Linked DNA regions of Alligator mississippiensis. The protein of the gene in region 3 interacts with the protein of the main gene of each other region in a pairwise test. Links are inferred from orthologs where the notes say so. Each region holds a gene or a part of one and is shown on either strand. Other genes may lie near its edges. The genes, in order: TRIM2, ACTG1, TNIK and myomegalin.

Region 1 (7,598 bases), on a different chromosome or scaffold from region 3:
AACACCAGTGAGGCTTTTGACACCATCTTCCATGACATTCTCATGAGTAAGCTAAGGAAACACAGGCTAAATGAAGTCACTGTGGAATGAGTACACAACTGATTGGATCTTCATGCTTAAGAAGTATTCATCAATGGCACAATATCTATTTGGGAGAAGGTTTTGATTGGGGTTCCTCAGAGGTCTTTCCTAGATCCAGTATGGCAGTTAATTAATATCTTCATCGATGACTTGAAGGATGAATCTGAGTTTATACTTCATAAATTTGCAGTTGGTACCAAGATGGGTGGGATAGCAGGCACTTTGTAGGATTAGAAGTTAAAATGAGCTTGCTTCTTTGGAGAAATAATCCCAAATACATTGGATAAAATTCAGTATGACCAAGTACAAAGTGCCACACTTAAGATGGAATAATCAAAGACTCACATACAAACTGGGGAACAGATGTTGGTGCTACAGTACTACAGAAAAGGACCAGGATGGTTACAGTGGACCACAGCAGAATAAGTTAACAGTGTGCTACTGTTGCAAAATTAAAGGGGACACAAGCAATTCTAAATTATGCTTGTGCCTTACCACCAGGAGCCTGGGCTAACATCCTATAACCCTTTAGACAGGCATTTTAGTGAATAAGTGCTGTGTAGGGAAATAAACCTGGCCAAGCTTTTTTGCCACTGAACTATCATGTGTGGTCTTTTGTTTGAAGTAATGTATAGACAACACCCTGACAGAGAGCTCATGCAAAAGAAGAACTACACTGATCATGTGAGAACACAGAGGAACAACATGGAGAACAACAAAAATGATTAGCAGTATAGAAAGTATGACACACAAGAAAGGTTAGAAGAAATAGTATTATTTAGGCTGGAGGAGATCATCTCCAGATATGTGAAGATTTGTTATAAAAATGGAGGATAATACTCTTGGCTGCATCCACATGTGTGTGGACATTTGGTTCCCTGGGGACAACTAACAGTGGCGCACTTTGTGGACATTGGAATGCCCATGTCATATGCCCTCTGGCACGCAGCAAGTTACGCTGTGTCAGGTAGGGGAGGCTGGGGCCAGCACTGGGCTGTCCCCAGCAGCCTTACGTGGGGTCCTGGGGACTTCCTGCGGCTGCAGCAGTGGAGATTCTGCCGTGTGGAGCCTGACCAGCAGCCAGAGCATGGGTTCAGCTAGCCAGGCTCTGGTTTTGAGTGATGCATGCTGTCCCTGTGTGTGCTGCTCCGCTTTTTCCCATGGGTTTTTTGATCCCTGGATATCCAGGGGTCAAACCCCTCCTCCCCGCCCCACAACCACCATCCTGCAGTGCAGAGAACAACTGAATGTGCAGTATGTAGCACCTCAGACATGGCCCTTATGTCCAAAAGGAACAGGACAAGAAGCAACAGTCTTAAATTGCAACATGAGGCAATTTCATTTGCGAAGCACCCGGCTCTGTGCAGCTCTGCGGCTCTGCAGGAAGCCCTGCAGGCAGCCTGGCAGCAGACTGGGAAAGCAGGCTCCGCCCAAGAAAAATGGTGAGCCTGATTTTTTTTGCCCCCTGGAGCCTGCCTGAGCTGAGCAGGGGCCTGGTGCTTCCCTCCACAGCTGCAGTGCCCCCAGGACCACCCGAGCCAGGTGCCTGTGGGTGGGTGCTGCCTGGGGGGAACCTGCCGATGCTGCAGAGGGAAGCACCAGCCCCCCCACAGCCCAGGGACCACTCCACCTGCCAGTAGCTTGCCCTCCCCTACCTGCCACCAGAGTGGCAGTTAAGTCAGCAGGGTGTGTGCGTGACACAGGGGTTTAATTGGCCCGTAATTGAAGCGGTGTTTTTAAAGACCCACTACTTCAATTTAGGGCCCCCGTTTCATCTACACATGCCCTCTGACCACAAACATTTTTTAATTCAAGACAGACACTTGGCACAGCTTGTTTAACAGGTCTGATCCCTCTTCGAGAAGGAGGTTAGACTAGATAACCTCTGGCATCTTGTCCAGCCCTATTTTCCTATGTTTCTATGATATGAACCTATATATATAGGTATAATACTTCACATCCATTTAACCCACTGGATTGCTAAATATTATCATGCCTGATTTATAAAAGTTGGACAGAGCAAGACAGAAAGGTTAAATGACTTTCCTAAAATCAGAGGGAGCCAGTTTCAGTATCCAGACACTAGCTCCTGGCTTTGAATCAAAGAGTTCCTGGCTTTGAATCAAATGCAGAGACTAGTTTTCAATTTATTTAAAACTGTGTTCGCAAACATAGTACGGACTTCATCCCCAAATTATTGTGTCACATAATTCCTGTATCAGAATCTATCTACAAGCTTCTTAAAATTTTGTTAATTCTAACCCCCAGGAGAGGGCTTCACAGTTAAAATCCTACAATTTTTATTAGAGCTCTATAATAATAAATCCTTATATTTGTCTCACAAATATTAGAAGACATGAAAAAACATTTCCAATTTCAGCTGAATGTTTTTTATACTATCCACTCCTTTTTTCTCATATCAGAATATCAAGTAAACTGATCAAACCCAAATTTCTGGCACTTATCAATCTCTGTTACTTTAATCTTTTTAAATCCTTTCCATTTAAATGAAATGCATGTGGAATCAAGTTGTTTTATGTCCACCTCTAAAGAAATCCACAGTACTCTATGCAATTGCATCTACAGAATAATCTAGATAAGATCAAAAGAAAAACGTTAGCCAGTGATTTCAGTGTGATTTGCTGGAATAGAAGGAAGATAATAGCATGCAAAGCAATTTAATTCTATCAAATTACAGAGTGGATTGCATTACATGATCTCATATACAATGAGTATTAATAGCAGAAAAATAGAATTCATCAGTAACCATTTTGACATTGTGGAGTTCTAGTAACATGGGAAAGGTGGAGAATAATAAACACCCCCGCCACCCCACTCATGCTTGGTTGTATCAGTGGTGCTGAGGATAATATGAAAAACCCCTTTCTGAGGTGCAGTACATCTCTTCCCCAAAATATCTAGCCATGTCTTTAATTATTTCCTGCCCCTTCTTGACACAGTTGCTTCCACAAGAAATATCTTGGGCAGTTCATGCACTCTTCTGAGTGCCGGGGCCATCTCTATGGCCATAACTATTAAATAAATTGTCTTTTTTTTTTTTCATACTATTTTGGGAAAGTAGCTAAGAAGGAAGTGGTGGGCCTGATTACAAGAATGTCCAGGTGGATATATTCATAAATGGTAAAGAGAAGATGCCAAGAATATCTTCACTTTGAACACAACAAGCTATCAGTTGGTGCCATGATCCAGTTGTTGCCCTGGGCTCGGGGAGACATCTTTCCTCCTCTTATTGCTTTCATCTATGAAACATAGGATTGCCCAGAGCACAAAAGTTATTACTACAGCTGACACTAACTGGCTGTCTTAGCACTTTCAAGGGGAGCCAACTACTAATTAAGAAGCAGTTACCTTTAGCTTTCCGGGTCCACTCAAGTCAGCGTTGATTCACGTTGCTGGAGCAATGTGAGGCAGCCTGCTGTGTTGTTTGTTCCCTACAAACTCTGAGATATAATAGAGGGCTTCAGACTCCAGGGATAGCAAGACTATACTTTCCACAAGCCCTAAAGTTATTCTGAACATTTTTAATTCTCTGAACACAAGGAAATAAGTCAAATGCACAAACCAAAATTGTCCACAGAGAAAACTAGATTCCAATATGCCTAACATATTCAGCTAGTTAGACCTCTTTATGGCCTAACCTCAAATTTAGAATGAATAAAATTATTTTCTGCGAGAGTAAGGGTTTCATGTAGAATGGAAATGATGAAAGCTCTTATTCAAAACACTCACTACTAATCTTTTCCAGAACTCAAGTCCAAATCAGCTATTTCATCAGATTACTTACAATTTAAGAACCACACGGCAAATCAAGCCTGAAAAAATAAATCCTACAGAAAGCTCAAAACCAGCAGAAAACATTTTATATTAGGACAAAGATTGTCAGGTGTGTGTGTTACACTTAACTTCTGTTTCTAGTTTTGTAGAATCCCTTTTCTTCTACTGTGAGTAGGAGAAAAAGAGTCTTCCCTAATTCACCAGTTCTTTTTCCTGAAAGCAGCATGACTTACCCTACACACAGTCCCAGGCAAAGTGTTGGTATAATTATTCATAGAATCAAAGTAGGACAGGAGGGGACCTCATGGGATCATCTAGTCCAACCTCCTGCTCAAGGCAGATCACCCCTAGTGATCCTGGTGCCCTAACCAAGTGCTCCTAACTCAAACAAGAATCCTACTGAACATCAGCCTCTCTCATGTGCCTAGGGATGGAAATGCAATTTATGGATGCTGTGGAGGAAAGTGAGAATTCAGGCCTGATATATCAGCTGGGATGCTAGCACCATTGTTGCCTTTGTAGATTATAGGCCTAGAGATTTCGACATACGTGAAACTAGAGGGATAGCATGAAAATTCCTAAAAGTGACGGACTCTCAGCTTAGTCAAATAGCTGGTCAGAGCCCCCAAAGACAGTTCAAAAGCTTTCTTTGGGTTCTCAGGCTACTTTCTACTTAGTAATCTACCCATCTGCTCATTTGTTCCAACAGATCAATACTTTCCTATATACACACCAAAACAAGAGGCAGTTTATGTCATGATTGTTATAAAGATTTAACAACCCTCTGGATTTCCATGGTCTCTTCACTCCAGCTGATTTTGAGGTCAACTCTTCCACCTTATTGATCACTCTACTTTTAACCATCTCAGCTGGCTCTCTTTGATGTTCAGATGCCATCGATTCCATTGGCTGCTTCAAGAACATTTGAAATATAGGACACTATGTGCAGTAGCCTTGTAGTACAGGACTCTAAGATCCTTAGTCTTATTTCTATGCAGATTAACAATATCATTTCTATGGGACTTAATGTTCATAGCATTGCCCTATATTATACGCAGAGGGTATGTCTACACATGCAATTAATGTGAACAGATGCATCCACACATGTGCCCTCATCAGGAGCAAATTTCACCTGACAGGAGTAGTGCAGTCCAGGACTTCTCCTGACCTTCTCTGCCCCTCTGCAGCAGCCAAGGCGGGTTCCAGGCTCCCCTGGGTGCCAGCTCTGGGGCTGGCAGGGGCCACAGGGGCTGATCCTGATTCCTACATGGCCAGAACAGTCATTCCCGATGCTGCCTGCCTGCCATGTGGAGATTGGTATCCCCATATGGCTGGCAGGCAGCATCCCTGCTGAGTGGAGACAGCTCTCCCACCCATGTGAGAATTGTGTCCTGACCTCATCTCCACGTGGCTGGGATGCAGCAGTGCTGGCTTCCAGAAAAGCTCTCCTGGCCATGTGAGGATTGGGATGGGTCCTGATCTCAATGTGGCAGGGAGACAGCTGCCCCTGCAGCTGGCACAGCTCACCCTGGATCAGGGCTTAATCAGGCAGCAGTGGGCCCCTGTTGCCTGAGCTGACTGGAAGCAAATTGCTCCCAGTCAACATCTACACATGCGTTACTGCACAGTAGCTAATTCACAATTTATCTAGTACCTGTATGTTCTGGTACTAGCAAACAGCACATTAGCCTATTTTACTGTGCAGTAAGTCTCATGCATGTCTAGATGATGACACTCGACTGAGCATTAGATTAGTCTAATGCACAGTAATGCGTCTTGTGTAGATGCACCCAAATGGCATAAACAATCCATCAATGCAGTTGGGCTAACACTTTCTCAGATCAAACATGTCTATACTCTGTGCTGTTGGTAACCTTACAAAGCTAGGAATAATTAGGTGCTTCATGATTCAATTTAGTCAAAGAATATCATAAAAGTCCTGTGCAAAAATTAGTTTCAGGTACCTCTAAAATCAATATTATGCCCAAATAAGCAGAAACATGCAACTGGAAATAAAAAGGTGCACTGTAAATTAAATAGAATATCGGTATATACAGCTGATAATAAATGTGAACAAAGTAATTAGTAGTACCTTTCTTAGTGCATTTTATTTTGGTTTATGATCTTGTAAAATTAAATGAGATAAAAGGAGCCCAGAATTAACATATTTTCCAAGTAACGGCTTATTCTAAAACTATGTCCAAGCAGTAAATCCACTAGTGATTTTCTTTTTCTAATTAACTAAATTTTGGATATGACTTTCACACATAATATGGTCATCATCTTTTTGATACAAGTTGAGTTACACCTTGCTATAAAATAATTTGAGATGCACATTTTAGAAGAGAGCTCCAAGTACAATTTTCATAGTAGCTGCAAACTTTTCTGAAAGCATTAGAGATGCATGAGAAGGATATTTCCATTTCATGATCTCTCAAACCCTGAACACCTCATTAAGTTCTTCCACATACATGTTCACTTTGACACCAGCTGGTTCAGTAGCTGCACTAGGGATAATTAAGCTTGACCATTATGATTTGAAGAAAAGTACTGCTCATGAGAAAAAAGCATGATCATAAGCAGTCCATGAGAAAAGGAGGATTATGGTAATCTCACCTACTTATTGGCACTCTCCATCTTTTGTTGCAATGTTCCTTCCTGTATCATGCAACTGACAGATTCGCCATAATTGCTCTCCAAGGCTGGGATTGCTGCAATAGAAATTATACTACCATCTTTTGACTGGAAGAAGAACTACACCTTTAGAGAGATTCCATTTCTGTTCTAAGTCAAAGCAAAAACTCACCCTTAAATATAAAGACATAAAATAACTACTCTGTTCTTTATCCCCATGGTCTTTTACAGAAGCCAATGTGGTTTAAGCATACCCAAACAATTAGTAATTATTCCTGGATGATCATAGTTTACACAGGAATACATCAGTACTTCTTATATTGCAGTAACAATATACCCACATCATATAGCCCTAATGCATTAGAAATAGCTCCCCTATTAAGTTATGTCCAGGAATTCCCCTTAATGCTGCTTGCTTTGTTACATTAGGAGTGGCTTTCTGGAACAGCGCTCTGTTACATACCCTTTCTTTAAATGTAAGAATTACATACCAATGTGTTACACAGCCTTTTCCAGGAAAAATGTCTGTTCATTATAAGAGGTTTGTAGAGGGGCTGGATAGATCAGCGATTTAATAATACTGTATGCCACTTCACTTGCAAATGACCAGCTCAAATCCATCCCAAGTCAATAGTGATAGGAATTATTATCTTCTGAGGTTTTTAATGATCTGCTTACATAAAATGATTTGATGGCCTCGGTTCAGTTCCTAATGGGCAACTGTCAGGTAGAATTATATAGTATCTATTCTTATTGGAAGTCTCAGCACGGAGCATTGGAGCACTCTGTAAGAATTTCTCCCCTTTTAAGCTTAAGTGGGATCCCCCCTGAAACAAGGCTGAAACCTATTAGAAAATTTAATAAACAGAGGGCCTCACAGGTTGTTCATCCAATCTTCTGTGAACACTATATTCATTTATAACATTATATGGCAGCCATGCTAAAACTGCCAAAATGTTTGACCAGTCCAACATTAACATTTTTATGCAGTTACCAAGGGAAGTCATAGATACAGAGCAGATAAACCCACTGCAAGTCACTGAAACTAGGCAAACTTAACAAAAATCCAAAGATAGCACATAAAAATG
Region 2 (8,716 bases), on a different chromosome or scaffold from region 3:
AGCCAAGAGGCAGCCTGGCCGGCCGCCACCATGCCTGCTCCATCACTGCTGACACCTGCTCAGCAGGTAGGTGTCTGCTTTTAGACTAGGCAGAGCAAGCTGCACTCCTGTCATGCAGCTGCCAGCTTCCCTTGGGAAGGGAGCTGGGCCCTTGTCTCAGACCTGGACACAAGGCTTCTCCCTCTGACACAGGCTCCCCCACCCAGCAGGGGCCAGCACAGCAGGAAGGACAGCACACGCATGTCATTTACTGCAGCGCTTTTATTTTCCTTACAATGACGTGTTGTCGGGCATTACAATTCTCGACCTTGGGATGACTTACAAGTTTTGGTTTTCTACTGTCATGTGAGAACATTAAGGCAACGTACAAAAAAAAATCTTACATAAATTAAACGGGATGCAGAAATTTACAGGTGTAAATGCAGAGTTTCAGCAACTCAAGTCGAGTTAACTTTTAGCCCCGTGTGATGTCTTGCTGGGATACAGGTGGGTGGGAAGATGGAAACGGGCTCCTAAGGCTTGGATGTGATATGTTTTTCCAACCTTGCTAGAACGGCAGCAACAGAAGTGAACTCTTTGATGGACTCCTACCAGCCTCTACATGAAAACTTGGAATACTCAGCGCTTTACAGATTGGAGTCTGACCTCAAATACCCTGTACAGATCTAGTCTCCGGCCCACGAGCTTAGGCTCCAGGCAAGTGTCACTCATCAATAGTAGCAAAGCCAGGAGCCCTACAGGCTCCTTGGCAGATTCTCTTCCACAAACACAAATTAACCTTGGCAGCAGGGTCACACTAGTGACTGCACCTGTACCAGGGTCTAGGTCAGATGTGTACAGGGTATTTTGCTAGAGAGTGTACACCAAGGGAACAAGGAACTTGAATACAAGGTCAAATCAGCGACAGCTTGACAATCCAACAGTGCTGACGTGTGTCTAACATCAGATACAGACTTTCCAAGGGCAAGTTTCTTTGAAAGAAGGCTTATTCCAGTTTTAGGAGGCTAGCATGAGGTGTATAGATTTGCCTGGGCAAACATATACTAGTGAAAAAAATACTCATGCAGCAGATGCTGGGCATCTGCTCGCAGTCCATTTAGAAGCATTTGCGGTGGACAATGGAGGGGCCGGACTCATCGTACTCCTGCTTGCTGATCCACATCTGCTGGAAGGTGGAGAGGGAGGCCAGGATGGAGCCGCCGATCCAGACAGAGTATTTGCGCTCAGGGGGAGCAATGATCTGCAAGGCAACAAAGACAAGTCAGCCGCAGAGCCAGAGCTTTGGAGGCCACCTCCCCTCCCAAGTCCCTGGGCATCCGAGAGAGGGTTTGCTCGTGCCCCGGAGGCTGCACCTACCTTGATTTTCATTGTGCTGGGTGCCAGGGCTGTGATTTCCTTCTGCATTCTGTCGGCGATGCCAGGGTACATGGTGGTACCACCGGACAATACTGTGTTGGCATACAGGTCCTTTCGGATGTCTACGTCACACTTCATGATGGAGTTGAAAGTGGTCTCGTGAATGCCACACGACTCCATACCTGGAGAAGAGAGGTTGCCAGGTCAGCACACAGCTGGCCACTCAAGCCTTGCGCCGCCAGCCCCTGCCCCCTGCACTCAGACCCATGACCCCTGGCACTGACACGTTCCAGGCACGTGCTTGGTAGACACCTACCTAGGAAGGATGGCTGGAAGAGGGCCTCTGGACACCTGAACCGCTCATTGCCGATGGTGATCACCTGCCCATCAGGCAGCTCGTAGCTCTTCTCCAGGGAGGAGGAGGAAGCAGCTGTAGCCATCTCCTGTTCGAAGTCCAGGGCAACGTAGCACAGCTTCTCCTTGATGTCACGCACAATTTCCCTCTCGGCCGTGGTGGTGAAGCTGTAGCCTCTTTCTGTCAGGATCTTCATGAGGTAGTCTGTCAGGTCCCGGCCAGCCAAGTCCAGACGCAGGATGGCGTGGGGCAGAGCGTAGCCCTCGTAGATGGGCACAGTGTGGGTGACACCATCCCCAGAGTCCATAACAATACCAGTGGTACGACCAGAGGCGTACAGGGACAGCACGGCCTGGATAGCAACGTACATGGCTGGGGTGTTGAAGGTCTCAAACATGATCTATGAGGGGGAAGGGAAAGAAAACCGTGGTTTCAGTGACAAGAAGCCTCATCCCAAGCTGGTTCACTCAAATCCAAATTAGATCACACATCATGCTGGCATGCAAGAGTGGGATGTGTGGAGAAAAGGGGAGGGGAAAAAAAAAAAAAAAGAAAAAAAAGGCAAAGAACGCAGGCAGAAAATACACAAATAAAAAGAAACCTGAGACTTCAGGAAGGAAATGCCAGGAGGAGAACAGAACCCTGGAACAGGGAAAGAAAAAGGCGAGTTTAAGGAGATGCCATAAAATTGAAGAGGGCTTGTGCTGCGCAAGGGATGGAGGCGCCGACGGCTGCTCCCGTGGGGAGCCCCTACCTGTGTCATCTTCTCCCTGTTGGCCTTGGGGTTCAGGGGGGCTTCTGTGAGCAGCACGGGGTGCTCCTCCGGGGCCACGCGCAGCTCGTTGTAGAAGGTGTGGTGCCAGATCTTCTCCATGTCGTCCCAGTTGGTGACGATGCCGTGCTCGATGGGGTACTTCAGGGTCAGGATGCCTCTCTTGCTCTGGGCCTCGTCGCCCACGTAGCTGTCCTTCTGACCCATGCCGACCATGACGCCCTTTAAGAGACAAACACGGGAGGGGCGAGGTTAGGGCCGCGGCTCTGGACCGGCTCCGCGGCGCCGCTCGGGGCTGGTCTCCGCCCAACTGACCTGGTGCCTGGGGCGCCCCACGATGGAGGGGAACACGGCCCGAGGAGCGTCGTCTCCTGCAAAGCCAGCTTTGCACATCCCGGAGCCATTGTCGATGACGAGCGCTGCGATTTCTTCTTCCATTGCGGAGGATCTGGGAGGAAGATGAGGAGACCTGTGGTCAGCGGTGCTGAGCAGGCCCCTTGCCAAGCAGGATTCAGTCCCCGCAGCACCCCACCCAGCTCAGGGCTCCACCCCCCATCATGCATTGCATTGCGTTTTTTAAAATGCATTAAGAAAAAAGAGTGGTGGGGGGGTGCTCCAGCAGGCGCTGCTGCAGCTTGCAGGGAGGGGGCAGCACTACAGCCCCCCCACCCCCCTGCAGCACCCCGGGGTGCAGCATCTCCCCCGGAGCCCGGCTCCTCGCAGCTTCCCTCTCTCCTGCCCGCAGGGGGCGCCCGCGCGCCGCGCCGCTCCCCTCCCTTCGAATCTCCCGCGGCGTGACGTCACCCGCCGGTCCAGCCAATCACGCCCCCGCCCCTGGCATCATTCAAATCGCCCGGGTGGACGAAACCATTCCCAACACGCGGGGGTGAAAGAAAAGCCGGTCGCGCCCATTCCAACGGCGGGCGGTTGGGGGTCAGGTGGACCGAACCATTTTTTCCCCTCCCCTCGCTATAGAGCGCGGCAACGGCCGCCTAGGGGGATGAGCCCCTTCCGCGCCATTACGAGAAGAGGGGCGAGAGGCAGGCGAGCGGCCCGCGGCGGGAGGAGCCCTGTACCTGTGCGGAGGAGGCTGGTCTCGGTGCGGGGGGGAAGCGCTGCTGCTAGGTCCGCTGCCGCCGGCTGAGTGAGACCGTCTGTTCGCCCGCCCCGCCCTTTTATACCCGGCGGGCTCGGGCCCCGCCTCGCCGGCCGAGACATCGCCATATATGGAGATCTTTCAGGAACACGCGCGCCCATTGGCTGGCGCGGCCCCGGCCACGTGGGGCGGCTGGTGGGCTCGGCCCCGCCTCTGCCGCCCCGGAACCTGCATGAACCAAGCTGCCGCCCCGGAACCTGCTCCCGGCTCCTGGGGGCCACGGGGCACCCCGGGCATGGGGCACCTGGTCCACGGGGCACCCCGGGCATGGGGCACCTGGGCCATGGGGCACCCGGGTGTGGAGCACCTGGGCCATGCAGCACCCCAGGCATGGGGCACTTGGGCCATGTGACACCCCAGGCATGGGGCACCTAGGCCGTGTGACACCCCAGGCATGGGGCACCTGGGCCACAGGGCAACCGGGGCGTGGGGCACCTGGGTCGTGTGACGCCCCAGGCATGGGGCATCTGGCCCATGCAGCACCCCTGGGCTATGTGGCCATGTGACACCCCGGGCGTGGGGCACCTGGGCCATGCAGCACCCCGGACATGGGGCATTTGGGCCCGTCCTGCACCCTGGGCGTGGAGCATCTGGGCCCGTGCTGCATCTCCGGGCCCACGGTGCCTGGGACCACGCTGCACCCCACTCCCATGGCACCCCGTGCCCAGCACCACCAAGCATGAGGCCCCATGGCACCAGCGCCATGACCCAAGTGCCACGGCCCTTGTGTGATTGCACCGCTCCATGGCCCGCTGCCACGCAAGCGCCGTGGGTGTCTGAGTCCCATGGCAGCTTTCACGGGGCTCCGGGCAGGGACGGTGGAACGGGCCACCCGGTTGTCCTGGGGCACCGACTCTTTCCAGGAAGGCAAACGCTGGGATGGGCGGGTTTACTCAGGCCACCACAAGCACGTGGGGTCAGCATGGAGAGACCTCCCCTGTCATTAGCTGCGACCAGAGGCTGAATGCACGAGTCTCCCCGGACGCGGCCAGCTCGGGGCAGCCCAGGCCATTGGGGTGCACGATGCCGCATCACCAGGCTCGGTGCTCAACGGGGCTCCTAAGTCCCCTGGACAGCAGCAGGAGTTCGGGGCCTACATGCCAGTGAGGCCTGCCCAGGGGCCAGCACTCGCTCGGGGGACGCGCACCCCAGGACTAGCCCCGGCACCTCCGTGGCGCTTACGAGCCGTGTTTGGGGCATCTCGACCCGGTGCGATGGGCCGGGGGCGCTGGCCCCGGGCTACCGGGAAGCAGCGGGAGAGGGAGGGCGTCCACCTGCCCCCAGCACAGCTGGACGCAGCAGGCCACATCTGCCCTAGGGCGTTGCACCTCTGGCTTCAAGCCCCGCTTTGGGGGAAGGGACCAGGCCCCGGCAGGGCTTTCGGTCCAGCCCAGCGCCCATCCCTGTTCTCGCTGCCGAGCAGGAAACATTTGCTCCCTGACGTCAAAGCCCATGAGCGAAGGCAGCGGTGACTGTGCGCCGCGGCAGCGAGCGGGGGAGCCAGGCCCGGATCAGCTCATCTTTAAGCAGCAAAAAAACCCTGCCCCCCTCCCGGCAGGCCCGGGAGGAGGAACCGGCGGGTGCGTTTCCTGGCACCGGGGCTGCAGGCAGCTGGGGAGGCGGAGCGGGAAGTTTCTGCCCAGATGAGGTCTTTCATTGCGGGGCCGAGGGGCTGGGCCACGGCCGGGCCCCGGGGAGCTGCGGGGGAAGGCTAGGAGGAGCAGGAGCTGGGCCCCCCCTTCCCCGACTAAGGGTGCCCGATGCCCGGGGGCAGGAGCGGGTTCATCACCCAGGCAGAGGAAACGGGCATCGCTCATCATGGGGGGGCCCGGCCTGCACAAGCCCCGGGGTTCCAGGTGACTCGTCCCCGGACCGGGCTTCTCCCGATGCCCAAACTAGGAAGCAAATCCCAGCCCAGCCAATGCCGGAGCAAGGCAGGATCCCGGCGTGGATGACTAATCCCAGGGGAAGTCCATCCTACGCTGGGGGAGGCAAGGGAGAGGGCCAGGTTATGCGGAGCCAGGCCCGGGTACCCCCAGCCCCTGGCTCCTCCGGCTGGGCTGGCTCTGGAGCCACCCTCCGCGCCGGCCCCCATATCCAGGCATGGGGATCTGGTCCACCCGGGGAGGATGCCCTGCTGCCCCCGAGGTGGGTTTCTCCCGGTGTTTCCCGGTTCTCGAGGAGGACACGGGCATTCAGCCGTGGGTGACCGGCTCCGTGCCACGTACCCGGCGGGGCGGGGGTGCTGCAGGGTCTTGCCTCTACCCCTCCCCCAGGGAAAGGCCCCTTGGGCCACGGGCGGGCTCCCTGCAGGGCTCTGACGTTCGGGGCGCGAGCAAGCCAGGCGGGTTCCCACGCCCACGGTCCCCGCGCGCCATCGCCCCAGGGCCCGGCCAGGTGGCAAGGTCAAGTGCAGGTTCATGGGGCTCCAGCGTGGTTCCCTCCGGCAGTGCCAGCAGAGCCCCCCCAGGCTGGGTGACATTGTCTCCCGGAGGGGCTGGAGCGTGGGTGGGGGCAGAGCCTGGGGGGCACGGCTCTGCCTCCCCCCCGCCCCCCCGCCCCAGGGCACGGGGAGGCAGTCGTACCAGCCGCACCCGGGATGTGTCACGACCAGGCATGGCGTGACGGGGAGGGAGCAGGTGGAGCCGGCCAGGTGGGCCGGCGGGAGCAGTGCATGCCTATATTTGGTGATCTCGGGCCCAGCCGTGCCCGCCCGCTCCGAAACCTGCCCCGGCTCCCGCCCCGCGGCGAACAGCCGGGGCAGTGCCGGGGCTGGACTTTGGCTCCCCGAAGCCGGGAGCCGGGCGGGGGCACACAGGGCGTGCGGGCACAGCTTGTGCATGGGGGTGAACCCAGAGCTTGCACACAGGGGTGCCACGTGGCCCTGCCTCTCCTCTGCACCCCTGTGGACACAGTGACCTGGGGGGGCAAGCAGGAGGGGAGGGGCGCCCTGCCCTGCCCTGGGAACGGGGAGAACTGGGGCATGGGGGCCGCCCTGGTGCAGCACGGGTGGGCACGGAGCCCCTCCACAGCCTGGGGGCAGGAAGCCTCCCTGAGCCCCCCAGCCCCTTGGATGCACGACGAGCCCCAGACCTGCTGCCCCCCACCTCGCTGCAGCCACGTGGGCAGCACCCACGGGCCCTCCCAGCACTTGCATGGGGGCAGCAACACCCCGGCCTCGATGCTGCCGCACCAGGGCAGCTCCTGCCCCATGCGGGGCCGCGGCTACAAGAACCCCCCCAGCTCTGCCCGCTTTGGGGCACCAGCTCTGGGCTGGGGAGTGCCAAGAAACAGCAGGTTGCTTCCTTGCGGGGGGGTCTGGAAGGTGACACCCATCAGCACTGGCGCTAGGCTGGTCTGTACTGGTGAGAGCGGGTGCTGGGCACCGGAGGCGCCGGCAGGACCCCGACGGGGCGCACTGACGGCAGGGAACTTGCTCTGGCTTCATGCCTGGATCGGGCCCCTCTGCATGGCTGAGATCCAGCCACACGGCCCCCCCGGCAGTGGGACCAGTTCCCTCCATCAGTACGACCAGCTAGGCACCCAGATGGGACTGGGTGCACTGGTTTCCACAGAGTCTGGCTGCAAGCGGTGCCCAGCTGGGCCTGGCCAGCGCCAGGAGGGGAGCCCCCAAACATGCACCATGCACCGGGGCAAGGAGCCCGCATGGGGGACCTCCTCCGCTCCGGCCAGCCTGGGGCCGGGCACGGCAGTTCCTTGCTGCGTCCACCAGGGGGGCCCCTGGACCGGTGCCGTGGCCTGTCCCGTGCCGCAGGCGTGTCCGTGTCGGTGCCCGGCGCCGTGCCCGTGTTGTGCCAGCAGGTGTGTGCAACCTGGGCCGGCCCGCCTGCAGCCTGGGCCCCCAGGGACAAGGGCAGGGACAGTTTGGGAGGGAATCTCCCAGGCCAGTGGCCTGAGATGAGTTTTTCCGTTCTCAGCCTCCGCCAGCAGCCCGGGACTCGGTTCACCTCCTGCCCTGTGGGCTTCACCCGCCGTGCGTGCAGGGCCCAGCTGCTGCCTGGAACAGCCGTGGCGCCCAGCCTGCCCCACAGGAGCCCTGGCCATGGGTGGGGGCAGGGACAGACCTGCCCCTGTGGGCTGGGGACAGGCATCGATCCCCCCTCGACAGTGCTGGAGACTAGCTCGGCAGGCAGGGCAGGGGAGCTGGCATCCCTGGCCTAGGCTGGGGAAGTGTGCGCACACACACATCCCCACCCACACTCACATGCAAGCATGCGCACGTATGCACAGACATGCACAAACATGCACGCACACACAGCATGCACATGTGCGCACACATGCACATGCAGGCATGCAGACAAATGCACAGACATGCACAAGCATGCATGCGCACACAGGCAGGCACACATGCACACACATGCAGGCATGCACACACACATATGCACAGGCATGCACCCACACAGGCACACACATATGCACAGGCATGCACACACACACATGCAGGCACGCACATGTATACACAGGCACATGCATGCACAAGTGCCTATGCGCATGCATGTGCACACACGCACACTCTTTGCGCTCCCTGGGATGCTCAGGCCCAGCCTGGGCCTCTCAAAGCCTCCCCCGCAGCCACACACGACCCCCCCGGCCCTGCCCCTGCCCCCCGGCTCAAGCAGCCTTGGCCCGCCGCGGCAGGCTGGTGGGCAGGCCGTCGTTCGCCCCCCGTTAAATAGCGGCTGCCCGCACGACACCGATACCGCGGCGGCCCCCCCGGAACCCGACCCCGCGCGCCCGGATCCGTTACAGCGCTCGCTTAGCGACAGCCAGTGTCACGAGATGCCCGGGCCGCGGCGCCGGGTAACCTACACCCGGGGCGGGTGGGGGCGGCGCGGCCGCAAGTGGAACGGCCGAAGAAAAGGAGAGCTCGAGCATGAAAAAATCATTAGGCAACCAATCCCCGGGACCTATTTCCAGGGACAAAGCCGGCCCCACGGGGCCTGAAACCCGAGCGCCGCCCGCGCCCGCCCCAGAAATCAGAGCCCCGGCCTGCGCCCGTGGACCTGCCGGCTGGGACCCCACGCGGCTGCCGCGGCCCCCGGGAACCCCAGCCCCC
Region 3 (7,626 bases):
ATAATGAGATTCTACTCATGAAAAATGTATAAAGGCAGTAGGGGCAGGTGGCAGGTAACCAGGCAGGCAGTGGATAAGCAAGTAGGGGGTAGGTTTCTGGTAGGAAAGGCAATGAGGGCAGGCATTGTGGTGTGGGTCAAGCAGCTTGGCCCCTGCCCCTTGCATACCTGGTCCTCTGTTGCTTGGCTCTCCATCACTTGCTCGCCAGACTGTATCCCATTTCCTCTGCTTCCCACAGCCTCTGTGCCCATACCTGCCCCCTTCTACAGCCTTGGACCCCCTACCCCTCTTTCCCTGCTCTCTCCCCCTGCAACCTCTACCCCCACCCCCCCAATCCACTTCTCCTCAGCTGCTTATCCTTGCTTCGCTCCAGGAGACCTGGTGCATGGAGCACAGCTCTATTCACACCTGGTAGCAATGGTGGTAGTGTGGTAACTCTGGACCCAGCTCCAGCTGGAGCTGCTAACTGGACTAGACTGGGGCTGAGCTTCTTGTGCCAGGCTGGAATGGGGCCAGAATCTGCTGGAGCAGAGCAAGGGTATGCAGTGGAATTGGGGTAGGTAGGCAAGTAGAGGAGGTGGGGGAGTAAAGCTGGTGGGTGACAGGTGGTAGCTGTTGGGCTGGAGTCAGACGCACAGCAGCTGCCTGCCCCCAAACTGGCACAGACTTGAATCCAACTTGAGACCTTTTTTCCCCATGTAAAATGGGGGATAAAACCTCATTTTGGGCTTGACCAAATACAATAATTCTTTATGAAAACATGAAACCTTTCGGTGATACACAGGGCTTCAAATGGAGTTACCTCATCGATATATGGCCTAGCAAGCACTTAGGTGCTTCCATCAAGCAGATGAGAGAAATAATGGAATTACTTTTGACAGAGGTACATATAACAAAACTTGGATCTTGTCTGTTAGAGGCAGGTTGTGGTTAATGGCATCTATCTGGTTGTGAAGAGACTTGTCTAGATGGCTACAAAAAGCCCGTTTTAACTTCTTGCTCCCTGTTGGAGACCCCTTAGACAAGTTTTGGCACTACTGCTGGGAATGAGAGTTGTTCTAGCCAGAGACTTCAAGGTCATCCTCCCAGCAAGGTAACACCCACAGTTTTTGCTTCGGGCTGCATGCGGACTCAGTAATAAAGGGTATCAGGGAACATTCAAACATTTTTCTTTATAATCATTGGGGCTAGGTTTGGTAATAATGCATAGTTAGCTTTGAACATGGCATGGAGGAACTCATGTGATAAGCAAATAAGGCTCATGCAGAAATCCTGCACTGCAGCCTCTCAGTATTGGTTTGGATACCATAGTTTTGCAAAAATTAGAAACGGTAAACAACAACACATTGACAAGAGGATCTATATGTGAGAGTAAAGCACCCAGATTGTCCTCCAGCTACTTTGCAAATCTCCAGTGAAAGCTCACATTGGCGTAAGAGGGGATAGCAATCCAAAAGTGATGATGAATCAATTAAAATGCATTTGCGAAGATCAATAGATGCGGGTTGGACACAAGTAGCCATTAATTTCTGAGTATCTTCTAACACAGCTGCAGCAGTAATCATGTTAGCTTGAAATCCAATTATTATGCATTTAATAGAGTATTAATATTTAAACACACTTTAGTGTGTTTAGGCAGTGCCTTTTAACTGCTGTATCCATGTAAAAGCACTGGTCCCTAGCCTCAGCTGGAGTAAATCAGCTGGAAATCAGTAGCAAAATGCCACTTTACACCAGCTGTAATTGTGAGCTAATGGACATAGAAACAGGTGAACCAAGTATGTGGGGAAAGAGGAGCACTGGACAACACAGTCACATGTCCACTATGGTGCATCACACAGCCAAAGGGGAGTCCACTCAGTGTCATCAGAGATGTAATCCTTCTGTGGCTAAGCAATAGGACTGAACAGGGGCCCTAAATTTGAAGAAATACACCATAAAGGGAAAGTGTAGTTTAATGTTGCACTGACCCATCTTAGGTCCAGTTACTGAACTAAAATTCTCCAGTTCAGATCAGCCTGACTTTAAATTAATTTTTGTGAGTAGATTTTTATGGACAGAAAATAATAATAATAAAAACCCAAAATGGTAAAATCAAAATTCTCCCTTGAAAAAATGAAATTTTGTAGAAACTTCCTTTTCCATTGAAAATATCATTCCTTACTATCCTGACTAGTTTATGCTTCCATTTCTACCAGGAAGGTCTGTGCAGCATAGAGACAACACCCAGAAATTTGAAGATTATAACATAGTCACATATCCTTACCCATACACTAATGGTGAAGTAATTTTTGTAAATCAGCCTTATTGACACACGTTTACTGGACCAGGAACTGCCATTTTTGCATACTGAAGTACTTTGAAGCAATTGGAATTTTTTACTCCATTGCCCCTATAACCTACTATAATGTACTATATTTATGACATTACTGATATATATATCTATATATAGATATATAGATATATATATATATCTATATATAGATATATATACTGTCTTCAAGGACTAATTAAAGGCCCCAAATGAAGTAACTCCTATCCTGGGCACTTCATATGGATGTAGAGATCCATGATAATCTGTCCATTTGTAAGACTGGGGCCTATCATTTTAAAAGAAAGAAATCTCTCATTTCCACACCTGTTTTTACAAATGACACCTTCCTTGCCTTTTAAATGGAAAAGCTATTAGAAAAACACATTCTCACTTTCTGCTCAGCTTATTCTTTTTCATTCCCCACCCCCTTGAAAAAATTATAGCAGCACTGCCGCAGTCACATTTCTTTGTCACTAGCTTCTAGCTACTTTTGCTTTCAGGTCTATATGTATTATCACAATATTGCAATGTCTGGGTTGCAACCGCTGCAGACAACATTTGTACATCAAAGCGTTCCAGTCCATTGTTAAAAAAAAAATGAGAGAGAGACTTGGAAATAATTTGCTTGCTCCTTGCTTGTATTTAAGTGTTTATTCAAGACTGTAGAATGTAAAATTCAAGATTTCGGGCAAATATAATCTTTCGAATGTCAGGAAGTTTTAATTGCTCTACCACATATTAATGCCTCTGGATTTGTTATACTGAAGACAGTGATGTGTTTGTCACCCTGCATCACCTCATGCTTTCCATCCACTTCTGCATGTTTCATTTACCTGCAATACTTAGTCACCTGGAAAAAATACCTTCTGCCTTGTACGTGGAATTTTGTATGGGGCAATGCTGCAACTTCCACTATTGTATAATGGTGCTGTTGCTCCATTTCTCACCATGTATCAGGAACTCGGTGATCAGCACTCTTAATAATAAGGTTCAGCTCCAGATCTTTGAACCTACCTCCTGGCAGGCTTAGTTAGCATGTGCAGATAGCCATGGTACTTTGAACACAGGGCATACGGCAGAGTTGGGCAATGAACTCCCTCTAGTTCTGCAACTGGTTTAAGACAGCCTGTTGCTGATGAGGAAATGTCAGCAGCTTGACTCTGTTTTGCAAGGCCAGTCTCTTCTGCAGCCTGCTTCTACCAAATTGCTCAGATAATAAATGTGCTGTGTCTCAGACTACCAGCTTTTTATGAAAAAGTTGCAGCAGTCAAGTGGCCCTATCGACTGTAGGATTATTTGCAATTAAAAAAAAAGAGCATCTCAATCCATGCATACAAAAAAATCCTGCCTCTCTCTGCAGGAGACAAGTGTGTTAGGGTTATGTTTCTACTTCTCCACTCTGCGTGTTGCGAGATCCCGTCACACACCTGCGAGATCGGATAACGGACCCCACTGTGCTCCCCCTGAAGCGAGAAATGGTATCAGGAAGACCAGACCCGGTGCTTGAGAGACCGCTCCTGAATAAGGAATAACAAATGAGGACAAAGAGAAAACCGGGTCCCCTGGAAACGGAGGGATGCTTCTTCCCAAACCCAACACCTGTGTGCGCTGCTCCTCTACCAAAGCAGCCCAAATCCAGATTGCAAGACCGTGCCGAGCCAGGGCAATCCTAGATGTAGCTCTTAGAGGATCAACTCCTGGTTGGACTTCCCACCCCCTAATTCCCCAGCCTGGCCGGAGACCGACGGCCGGCCCCGCTCTGCGTCCTCATGCCCCTAGTGCCAGCGCCCGCGCCCGCAGCCCGGCAGGGCAGGGGCAAGTCAAGCCTCGCTTCTCCGCGGGGGGAGGGGAGAAGGGGGCGGGGCGCGCTGCACTTGTTCCCGGGGCCGGGCAGGGAGGCCCCGCCCCCTCCTGTTTAGCACCGCCCCCTCCACCCCCCCACTCCGGAGCGGCGGCGGCGCGTGCGCGTGTGCGGGCGGGCGGCCGTGGAGAGGAGGCGGCGGCAGCGGCGGCGGAGGTCCCGCGGCGCCCGGCGAGCTGAGGCAACATGGCGAGCGACTCCCCGGCTCGCAGCCTGGACGAGATCGATCTCTCCGCCCTGCGGGTGAGTGCTCGCCCCCGGCCCGCGGGTCCTCTGCCTTCCTGGGGTGGGGGGTGAGGTGGATGATGGTGTGAGGTGAACGGTGTGTGTAAGACAAGTAGTGATGGGTGTGTGCGCGTGGGGGGCGGTGTGCACAGGACTGATGCTCCCGCAGGAGGGGAAGGAGACGGGGCTGCGATGTCCCCGGGGTGCAGTGGCGGGGGGTGTCTTCAGCAGGACGGTCTCCGGGGGGTGCGCCTGGGTCTTCAGGGGGAAGCGCGAGGCCCCCCAGCCCCATGGCTGCTGCAGCCCGGGTGCGGCATGGCTGTGGCATAGAGGTGCCCCCTTGGAGCAGCGGTGGCTGCCGTGCTCCTTTCGTCGATGCAGCGCTGTGCTCCGCGCATCCATCCCCCTTGGGTGCCTGCTCTTCAGTTGCCTTTGCACAGGCTCAGGCTGAGCTGTCTTTTTGTCGGTTTTTTTTTTTGTTCCCCCCGCCCTAGCTCAGGGGCATCTGGAGAGCGCCCTCTTTGCCCTTCCAATGCAAGTGGGTTTGTCTTTTGTTTGTTTTTTCCCCCTCTACCTGAGGGAGCCCTGCGTTGAAAACAAAAACCCGTAGCGCAGAGAGGATGTGGCTCTTTTTGTCCTCGGATGCAGCGTCTCTTTACAGTAGCAGCTCCCCCGCCGGTCTGCTTGCGCTTCCCTGCCGACTGCCTTGGCCGCCGTGGGGCCAGAGGGGTTGAGTCCATCTTGATGTGATTTTTATTTTTTTGCTGTGAAATTTGGACATTGCAAGCTGGGGATGTTTGCCCCCATTTCTGCCGCCCCCCAATCACCACCATCTTCAGTCCTTTCCAGGGAATGGGCATATGCCTCCTTGCCCTTTTCATCAGGCATCACCCTGCCTCCTCAGGCTTGGTTTAAGCATATATGCTTAATAGCGATGCACGTGTGTGTGACTACACACTACACATGTACTGAATCTAGGAACACTGATGTGGGTTGGTTCACACCCTGTGGAGCACATTGTTGCACACTGATGCTGAGCCCCGGAGTATTTTGTTTTCTTGCCTCTTCATTTGCTGTCATCAGCCAGCCTTGCTCTTTTCTCCCACGCTTCTTCTAAGTAAGACTCTTATTTGTATTTACAATAAACCAGAAATGTATATGGTACATCAAAGATGGCAGCCAGTGTTTTTGTATTGTGATGTGTCTCTTTCTCCCCCTGTTTCTATAATTCCCTCCCCCCCACCTTTTTCATCTATTGCTGGTTTCGGCTATCCACTACTGGAGTCCTTTAGGGGAGTAGTGTTTAATCTGGACGTGGCTGCTGAAACGTTGTCTGAAGGAGCCTTCCTTTATTACAGCAAGACTGCGTACACCTTGCTGGTACAGGTGTTTAAGAAAAATAAAATCAAGTGATGCCCACTGAAGACTTCCAAGACTGTTGTGTGGTTTTGTTTTGTTTTGTTTTGTTTGTTGGGGTTTTTTTGTTTTGTTTTGTTTTTTTACAAATAATGTTTGCTTCAAGGCAAACCCAAAAAGATGCCCGTCTTATTCACATGCCCTACTTTTCTTTCTGCTTAGTTCCTGGCTCATTAATAGTGTAAACCAGTGGTTTTCAACCTAGACCCCCGGGGGGTCTGCAGACTATGGTCACAGTCATCTTTTGCAGACCCCTTAGACAATCAAAAAGTATATGAATACATAGACTTACCATTCAAGGGGGTCTGCACCTCTATTCAGAAATTTTTAGGGATCTGCACATGAAGAGAGGTTGAAAACCACTGGTGTAAACAATTGCTCCACAGTTGCAGGTGTGGACAGGATGAGGAATATGGAGGTCCTTCATGTTTAAAAACAAACATTCAATTCTAGTTCACCTCCCCTGCCTCAGTATCTCAGGAGAAATGTCAGTCAATGGAATTAATAGCCCTATAAAGCAAACATCTTGGAGCATCAGCCCCTACATGTTGGATTTTGTTTTGGGAACAGCAGCAGTTGAATTTTCTTAATGCCCGTAACAACCAGTCTTAAAATAACATCCCTGCTTTTTGTTTTTAAGGTATCTGTGTTCATGCAGATGGAGCTTTTTATTATTATTTATTTTTTCTCCATGGACTATACCCAAAGCAAGTCTGAATTGTCTGTCAGTGCAAATACAAATTAGAAATCCTCGACTGTAACTGCATTTGTTATGATTCCCCCATGTGCTTCTTTATCGTGGAACCCTAGGCTTGGAAAGATCTTGGTGGTCATTTAATGCAGGATGTGTTTATTCCTAAACCATCCAGGACCAATGCCTTTCCAGCCTCTTTTTTTTTTTTTTTTAAGTCTCCCATGAAGGAGATTCCACATGTTATCCAGGGAGCTTGTCCTAGCTGTGCCCCATGCCCCTAAAAGTAGTCTTATGAACTGGATCAACCATGGGATCAAGTGGCCTTCTTTGCTGGTAGATATACCTCAACAGACGCTAGATGTTGTGTCCATTTTATGGTGTCAGTATTCAGTGGTGGGGGCAGGAGGACCGTGGAGAATACAAAACACGCTTTGTGTATCTTCGTGTACTAAACTGAAGGGAATTTGTTCAGAGCTCCCAAAACAGTGACAGATCATATTGGAGAGAGCCCCATTTGCATCTAGTACATCAGATAAATTGTTCAAGAGCTGTCGATCTTTGTAATCACTTGACCTTCTGTAATGCTTCAAGGTCAGCAGGGCTTTGGGTGGGCTGCCGCACTGACTTGCGGTAACCCCAGGCAGCTGTAGTCTAACTTTGTGCTCTTTACACCTGCGGGTCAGCGTTGGCTCACTTGGGCTTTCATGTCTCTTCTACACTGAAAATGGTAAACACTTCCTAGATAGAGACAAAGCCCTAAGAGGGAGAATCTCAACCACTGTATAACGTAAGTGGAAGAAACCTATTTATGGAACTTTCACTTAAACTATGCAACAGGTTGATTTACATGTGGGACAAGAGTAGGATCCTAATTTGTTGTGAAATAGCTCTTCTAAACTGAATGCATTTAGTACGTAGAATAATTGTTAAAGGTCAAATATTCAATGGATGCATTGAGCAGGGCACAGTCTTCCCCAGTGTTTGCATCAGAAATCAATAGTAAATTTGCTGCCTGAGCACAAAACAGGGCAGTACAGAGTAATTTCACAAGGGTCACAATCGCATTTGATTAGAAAATCAGGCAAGTGTCACACTGCTGCAGGTTTATATATACCT
Region 4 (7,654 bases), on a different chromosome or scaffold from region 3:
CAGCCCATTCACCACAAGCAAAGGAGCTTGGTCAGGATGCCAGCACAGGCTGCCTTTAGCAGAGAGAAGCAGAGCTGTTTTGTGCCACACAGGTGATTCTTACCTCTTCACAGCAAGATTGCTCTGTATTAATCCTCTGGCATGTCTTTTTCCTAGCCTGACCATGCAGGTGGCTGGAGTTACAGGCAATGATGCACACTACAGAAAGTCTCATGATAGCAGCAGTTCTCTTGTCACAAGGGCCAGACTACAGGTGACATGTGAGTTCCACCCGGTTCATGGCCTGATACAATCACATTGGTTAAATCCTTGATTTCCTCAGTGGTGAGCTCTGGCTACACTGATAAATCTTGCTGAAGTCAGTAGACTTGCACCTCTCCTTGGTGTTTTAGGGTTGTTAGTTGTTCACTTCATAAATCTACTGGATACAAAAAATCATGGACTAAATATAGGCAGACAAGGTTCTTTGGGTAAATCTGATGTCTTTTATTAGACCAACTCAGATAAAATAATCTAAGAAAAATAAATAATATAATAAATCTAATTTGTAAAAAAATAATTTGCATTTGAGGCCAAATTAGCCAAAACTAATTCCACATCCAAGAATCCGGAACCATAAACGGCCCTACTACCAGCAAACATTCTCCACCCATACCTGGGGCCTCAGATGTTTCCAGATCCTTTGGTGGGTGTCCTACTTGCAGGTCCAAGCCCGGAGGCTTGGGGTTCAGATGCTGCCGAGTTTTGCTTGCCCTTAGCCATAAGCCCCTCGGAGTAAGCAAGGGATGAGTCTCCCATTTCCATAAACTGGGCTTAAAGCCACTACATCTCAGTGGGTACTGAACCACGCCAGAAGAGCAGTTGCCCTGTGGGGTGGTTCAGGAAAACTGCCTTCTTGGACACAGATGCATGGTATTTCACCTGCCAGGTTAAGAAGCCACTGCACTTATCCTGAGCCCTCAAGAGGCCTGCACTTGATCTGAGCCTTTAGTACTCTAAAAAAAATCTAATAAAAATAGTCTAATAAAAGATACTAGATTTACCCAAAGAACCTTGTCTGCCTATGTCCTTAAACCAACGTGGCTACAACCTATATACCCTTGGACTAAATATAGACATTGGATTTATGGCACGTTATAACTTGGCTAACATTTGATAACCCCAGGTAACCTGTCTTCATTTTACCAGCTACATTCTATCACCAGTTCAACATTCCCCCTTTCCTCCCTGCCCCAAGCTGTCTCCTACCTATTGTCTCCCATTCCCTCTGATCCTCACTGCCACGCATTTGCATTTTCACAGACCTGCATTTTGCATTTTGGCTTCTCTTCTGTAGGCTGTTCCTGTACCATAGAGAGACCTGTAGGCTCTCTCTATGCCTGAAGAAGGGTGTTTGTGCCCAAAAGCTTGCAAAGAACAATTTTTCCAACTACCTAGTTAGCCAAATAAAAGATATCACATTTACCCAAAGAACCTTGTATCCTAGGTGTTACATTTGAAGGATTTTCCCTGTAAGCAAATGAGCCAAAATGTTTTCCTTCCTGAAGGACGCTGGAGCACAGTGATGTGCCTGCAGTACTCCAGCAAGACACAAACCCAACAGCTTCCAAACAGCTGGACAGTTCTGCCTTCTAGAAACAGGAAACGACAAAGCCCTGTAATTGCAGGCCCTCTTCCCGGCTGCAGTGAAGAATAATGCCACCCTCCCCCCCCCCCCCCCCCCCGGCCTGTCATTGCAGAATGAGTGTCTAGGCTCTGAAGCAGAGAAGCTATAATTTGGGCAGCTGGCTGGCTTCCAAATCTATAGCTTTTAAGCTTTCTGAACGACATAGTACAGGACGGTCTCCAGGGGGGCTTCCATCTGCTCCAACCCATTATCCCACTTCCTGGGGAACGGTAGCCAATTGAAACAGTTCTGCCTGCTCAGCAGGTATAGCAGGCTTCTCTTCCACCCTTCCCCCCACCCTCCTGCTCTCTGCACACAAAGGGTTGGAAGATTTCAACCCTTTCTCAGATTTCTTTCTCTTCCCGGTCTGCATGTCTGAGGTTTTAGATGGTTTCCGGGTTGTTGCTCTGCTGTTCATTTTTTGTCATCTAGTTTGTAATAAATTGTTTCACAAAAAAACCCCAGACTTCAGTGCTTCTCAGAGCCACCTTCTTCCCCCACCCTCTTAAAATTATCCACTCCCATGAGACCTACAAAATACTTGGTGGTGGCTCTGCACCTGGCATGCTGTGATTGCTGTGTTTCTTGTGCCTGCCTGCCTGTTTGCTGTATCCACCAGATTTTGGAAGCTCCATAGAGCAGGCACCATTTCTGTTACATTGGTACAGCACATTGCTGGGCAGTTAATGGACAGTTAACATTAACTGGTCTCTGGCAGTATGTATCATCAGAAGGACTAGAGTTTGTATGGACTGTGGTTATTGAACAAGCCCTTTCTCTTTTGGATAGGGGCGGTTTCTCCAGAATTAGGGTACATTAGTGAAGGATGATTTGATGGATGCTTATGTTGCAGAGGTAAGGGAGGGACGACTTATTTCTCTGGGGTAAAACAGGCTTATTTCACCACCAGTGGCAATTTCACTAAAAAGCTGAGTTTTGACCTGCCTACCTGGATGATGATTTCTGCATTAAACTTTTCTGTACCTGTTAGGTAGAAAATGAATCCTGATGCTGTGAGTCTTAGTTTGTGGCTGGTGACACAAGAAGCTGGTTGGTAAAAGGCACCATTTGGGTGCCAGGAGGCACTGAGTAGACTGGCTACCACTGGGCTTTACATAGCAATAGGTAGAACTGGTACAGCTTTGTGGGCAAGTGGCAGTGAGAAGATTGATTGGTACATGGAGTGGGTGAAGCTCAATATCGCATGGCATTGGATGGCATGCGTCAACGGGTTGCTGTGAGGTGGGGCCAGGAGCAGGTGGACCCTCAGTGGCAGGAGGCTCTGTGCAGGTAGAGCATTATGTGGCTCCGGGCGGTGTTCAGTGCTGAGTAGCGTGAGGAGCCCTTTGGCAAGCATGGCTGGGTGACTGAGAGAAGTCAGGGTACATTTGCACCTAACAGACTAACAAAGTCAGTGATGCATCGCCTTTTGTAAGTAGTGGCTGACTTCATCAGATGTTGGGAAGGGACTGCAGGAAGCAGAGCTTCCAACTAGAAAGCAGCTGTTGGCATACAAAGGGGAGGGGAGAGGAAACCCAATAGGAGGGGGCACTGCTGGCAGAGGCAAGCTGATGCATCTCTGATGTAGTAGTCTACAAGGTGCATCTCTACCTTGCCTTTTGCCTGACTTCAGATTAACACGGCTAGTTACCTCCCTCTGCTCATGGGTGATTGGGCCAGTGTGTGGGTGCTTAATGTTAGAACGGGTGGGGCGGCACTCGCCATCTCAGAGGCCTGAGTGCTTGTTGTTGTCAGGGGCCTGGCATCAGCAGGAGGCAGGGAGAGAGGCGCAGTGCCCCTGTCCTGGAAGAGCAGGCACCTCTGGCGGGAGGCAGCATAGGGCCCAGTATCAAATACACCAGGGTGGCACTGGGAGCAGGTAGCGAGCGCAGGGGCTTGTGCACGGGGCTGGGGGTGCAGGGCACATCCCTGGCTGTGGCTGGCACTGCCTGGGTACACAGAGAGTAACCCTGGATCACGATCCTGGCTCCCTAAGGGCCCTCCACAGGCCCCGGCCCCTGGAGGTGCGGGACGAGCAAAGCTGCCTCCACCCCTGGGGCTGTGCCAGCTGCCAGCATCAGCTACTCCCTTGCCAGCAGTGCAGCTCCTTCTGCGCATGCGGAGGAGGCGCGGAGGCCAGGGCAAAAACTGCTGCTCCCAGAATGCCGCTGGGAGGACGCATGCGCCGTGCAGCCGGCGACGCCATCTTGCAATCTGAGCCGCAATCGGGCAGCCTCAGTGGCAGCGGTAGCGGCTGCGGCAGCAGCGCTCTCCTCCTCCTCCTCCTCCTCCTCCGCGCCTGGGTCGGGGCGGCGGCGCCCGGGCCGCGTCTCCCCGCGGGGCTCGGCCGGGGCGGCAGCCTCCTGCTCTGAGCCGGGCGGGGGCAGATCGGGGGTCCCCGGGGCGGGGCCCGGGTGGTTTGGGGGCGGGGCCAAAGGGGTGGGGGCGGGGCTAGGGGGGCTGGCAAGAGGGGGTGTCTGGCCAGGCGGGGCATGGGGGAGCCCGTGTAGCCGTGGCCCAGGGGGGTGCATGGGGCTGGGGTGGCTGCGCATTGCCTGAGCCAGGGGAGCCCCTGGGGTCAGGCCTGGGGGATCCCCACTCCCAGGCCTTGCGGAGGCGCTGAGGGAGCAGTCGGGGCTGGAGAGCGTCTGCGCGCAGGTCTGGGCTGCAGCCGGGGGCCAGGCGCCGGCGAGGAGGATGCGGGACGCCTGCCGCATCTGCGCCCGGGAGCTGTGCGGCAATCAGAGGCGCTGGATCTTCCACCCGGCCTCCAAGCTCAACCTGCAGGTGCTGCTGTCCCACGTGCTGGGCAAGGAGCTGTGCCGCGATGGCAAGGCCGAGTTCGCCTGCAGCAAGTGCGCCTTCATGCTGGACCGCGTCTACCGCTTCGACACGGTCATCGCCCGCATCGAGGCGCTCTCCATCGAGCGCCTGCAGAAACTGCTGCTGGAGAAGGACCGCCTAAAGTTCTGCATTGCCAGCCTGTACCGGAGGAACAACGGCGAAGAGCTGAGCCCTGATGACAAAGTGGGGGATGGCACTGTGGACCTCTCGAGCCTGCCCGATGTCCGATACGCGGCCCTTCTGCAGGAGGACTTTGTCTATTCCGGGTTCGAGTGCTGGACGGAGCACGAGGAGCAGGCCTCAGAGTCACACAGCTGCCACGCTTCGGAGAGCGGGGCTAGCCGGCCCAGGCGATGCCGGGGCTGTGCTGCTCTGCGCGTTGCGGATTCTGACTACGAAGCCATTTGTAAAATCCCGCGAAAGGTGGCCAGGAGCATCTCTTGTGGGCCTTCTAGCAGGTGGTCTGCAAGCGTGTGCAATGAAGAGCCACCCATAGGCGAGCTTGGAGCCACTGAATCACCCAATGCCAAAGTACCTGCGGATGGAGACAGCATGGAGGAAGGGACTCCCGGGTCCTCCATTGAATCCTTGGACACCACTGTGGAGGTCGGCTCTTTGCAGCAGAAGGAGGAGGAAATGGACAAAGGTGGAAAAGGCAGTGGGAAGTGCGACTGTTGCTCCGATGATCGCACCACTCTAAACTCTTCATTAAATAGTAATAGGTTGGAGCTAGCTCTTAGCCTGATCAAAACCTGTGACTACAAGCCTGTTCAGAGTCCCAAAGGCAGTAGGTTACCTGTTCTAGTGAAATCCAAGCCCAGCCACGACACGATGGATGGAAGTCCTCATGCTGGTTTGGTGACGACTGGTTCTGGATTCCTGAACGCAGATGTGAAGTCCTTTTCCCGACCTCCTCTGGGCTTTCCCTTGGAGATGTCAGACCTGCAGGAGTTGTGGGAAGATCTCTGTGAGGAATATATGCCACTTCAGGTTCAGGTACAGGTTGATGAACAACACTGCAATTTAACAGAGGTCCTGCCATCTTGGCTGAGAGTCCAATCTGGATTCAGGTGTGCTGGGATAATACAGATAGCCAGTCCTATCTGAGCAAAAGGCTAGGAATGGGTAGCTAGGCCCTCCAACCGCTCTCCTTATACACACCTCGTCCCTGTTCTCTGACATTTCCATGGTATTCTTTTCCTGGTGTGTTTGAGAAATGAGCCCTCCATAGGTTTCTAGCATCTTGCCTCTTAAGTTTCCCTGAATCAAGGATACCAGCAAGGTTTGGCTGATATTTCCCCTTTTGTTTCTTGTTTCCAGCCAAGCAAACACCAGTTTAATTTCTCCTCATTACTTTCTAGGGAGTAAGTTTTGAATCTGTTAGTTTAAAGGGTGTAGTTTAAGCTGCCAAATGCTTCTTTAATAGCAGTTCAGTTTTTATTTGGCCTTTGTAAGTTATAAAGTTATAATTTGTAACTGATCTGTTCTGGAGTGGTAGGAACTGCTTTTTTTGCAGGCAGAGCTCCAAAATCGAATGCTCTTTGTCTCTCCCCAGTTTTCCCGATTTGCTCAGCCCTCAGGAATACCGTTATGCTGTTGGCAGTGAGGGTGTTGTCTTTGCAGATAGATTTGCTCCATTGGGTGACTTAAAGCTAGCATTCTTGGTAACTGATCCTTTAAAAAAGATTTAACAATCAGTAGCAGTCACTGCTGAGAGCCTGTGAGCTTTTGCAGGAATTTCAAACATTTTAACCATCTGCATAGATTCCAGGTAACATTTACCTCTGGATTTTGACTGCTTTTTTGCCTGGCTTTAAAATTCTTGCTAATATATGATCACAGGCCTGCACCTGTATTTCTTTTTTCACTTCTCTTACCACCCATTAAAGTCTTATGTCAGCTTTAATTCAGCAATATTTATGTCAGTCTAATTGTCTTGGCATTAGCAGGTTTAGTGCTGTCTAATTTTCCAGGTAGCCTCAGGGATTAGAAAGATACTTGTTTACTACAGAAGCAACTGTAGCTCTATTGGGTGATTGTTCTCCTTATGCAGTGAGTTGTGCTCATTCTTTTCCAAGCTCTGGCATTTTCCAGGGGTGTGTACTTTTTCCACAACAGCTTTTAGCATGAAAACGTGCTACGGAGGAAGCCAGACTGACGGAAGCTGACAAATTCCAAAGCATAGTCTGATGATCCATTTGTCACCGGTAATTGAAGATTTGCTGACACTACCTAGGGAACCTTAAAAAGTGAAGGGAAAATGCCATCATCTCTGTGTACCTTGTTGCCTGTTTTTTACCATTACAGACTGATATACCAAAATAGGGTCTTTCTTAACGCACAGGTTTTCCACCATTAGTTCGTATGGTGATTACATGACATTTCAGTTGTATCACGCATCTTAGCATCTTCATTGCGTCTCAGAATTACTTACAAAGGGTTTCTTCAAACCCCAGCCTCTGTCATGTGTTTGTCTTTCTGGTGAATCTTACGCTGAGTTTTTCATTTCCTGTTTCTTACCATGGCAACAAACCCAACACAGAATGATGTCTTCAGTGCTAAATCTGGCATAAATCGAAAGCACTCATTCCACTTTAACAGAAGGATTGGAGAGTCAGAGTTGCCAGTAAATAGGTCTCATATAAATCCCAGGCCTTGGCCTCACCTCTGTCCTTATTGCGTAATGAAATGAGAGAGACTTTAATTTTATAAACATTCTTAATTCAGAAGGTGAAGAAAAATTGTTTTTTGACTCCTTTGCACCAGCTAAGTTCTAGAAAACAGTTACAGTTTTCCCCACAAATGTTCCTTGTCCGTGCACAAACCCACCAGGCAAGGTGATTCTCTTCATACAGCTGAAATGCTGATGGCTGTCCATGGTATCTGTGCAGAAGGCCTGTTCTATTTACTTATAACATAATATTGCTCTTGCCTAACCTCTCAAGCCAGCAATGATTCCTGCCTTTCCTGAGAGCTAGATCCAAACCAAGTTTCATAGGTCGGTCACAGTAAAGTGTATTGCATCTTTATTTTAGGGCTTTCTATAGCAGGCTTTTACAAGCTACAAAAGCAGAAGGCTGCAATACCAGGAAGATAGGTATTGATTCTTGAGTTTCTGCCAATTAACGATAGCTGTGATACATG

What was found.
Region 1: the proteins of TNIK (region 3) and TRIM2 interact in a two-hybrid assay, tested with the Homo sapiens proteins (2 studies listed by BioGRID and IntAct). The link is inferred for Alligator mississippiensis from reciprocal best matches to the Homo sapiens genes TNIK and TRIM2.
Region 2: the proteins of TNIK (region 3) and ACTG1 interact in a two-hybrid assay, tested with the Homo sapiens proteins (2 studies listed by BioGRID and IntAct). The link is inferred for Alligator mississippiensis from reciprocal best matches to the Homo sapiens genes TNIK and ACTG1.
Region 4: the proteins of TNIK (region 3) and myomegalin interact in a two-hybrid assay, tested with the Homo sapiens proteins (2 studies listed by BioGRID and IntAct). The link is inferred for Alligator mississippiensis from reciprocal best matches to the Homo sapiens genes TNIK and PDE4DIP.

What each region holds. Positions count from the first base shown.
Region 1 is NC_081825.1:95,856,525-95,864,122, forward strand, and holds the start of TRIM2 (tripartite motif-containing protein 2), read right to left. Parts: upstream 3,473-7,598; 5' UTR 3,451-3,472; intron 1-3,450. UniProt on the Homo sapiens protein: UBE2D1-dependent E3 ubiquitin-protein ligase that mediates the ubiquitination of NEFL and of phosphorylated BCL2L11. Plays a neuroprotective function. May play a role in neuronal rapid ischemic tolerance.
Region 2 is NC_081831.1:1,811,212-1,819,927, forward strand, and holds ACTG1 (actin, cytoplasmic 2), read right to left. Parts: upstream 3,643-8,716; 5' UTR 3,560-3,642; intron 2,932-3,559; 5' UTR 2,922-2,931; coding exon 2,799-2,921; intron 2,706-2,798; coding exon 2,466-2,705; intron 2,112-2,465; coding exon 1,673-2,111; intron 1,539-1,672; coding exon 1,357-1,538; intron 1,241-1,356; coding exon 1,097-1,240; 3' UTR 244-1,096; downstream 1-243. UniProt on the Homo sapiens protein: Actins are highly conserved proteins that are involved in various types of cell motility and are ubiquitously expressed in all eukaryotic cells.
Region 3 is NC_081830.1:75,557,047-75,564,672, reverse strand, and holds the start of TNIK (TRAF2 and NCK-interacting protein kinase), read left to right. Parts: upstream 1-4,273; 5' UTR 4,274-4,361; coding exon 4,362-4,418; intron 4,419-7,626. UniProt on the Homo sapiens protein: Serine/threonine kinase that acts as an essential activator of the Wnt signaling pathway. Recruited to promoters of Wnt target genes and required to activate their expression. May act by phosphorylating TCF4/TCF7L2.
Region 4 is NC_081828.1:43,503,551-43,511,204, forward strand, and holds the start of myomegalin, read left to right. Parts: upstream 1-4,186; 5' UTR 4,187-4,363; coding exon 4,364-5,506; intron 5,507-7,654. UniProt on the Homo sapiens protein: Functions as an anchor sequestering components of the cAMP-dependent pathway to Golgi and/or centrosomes.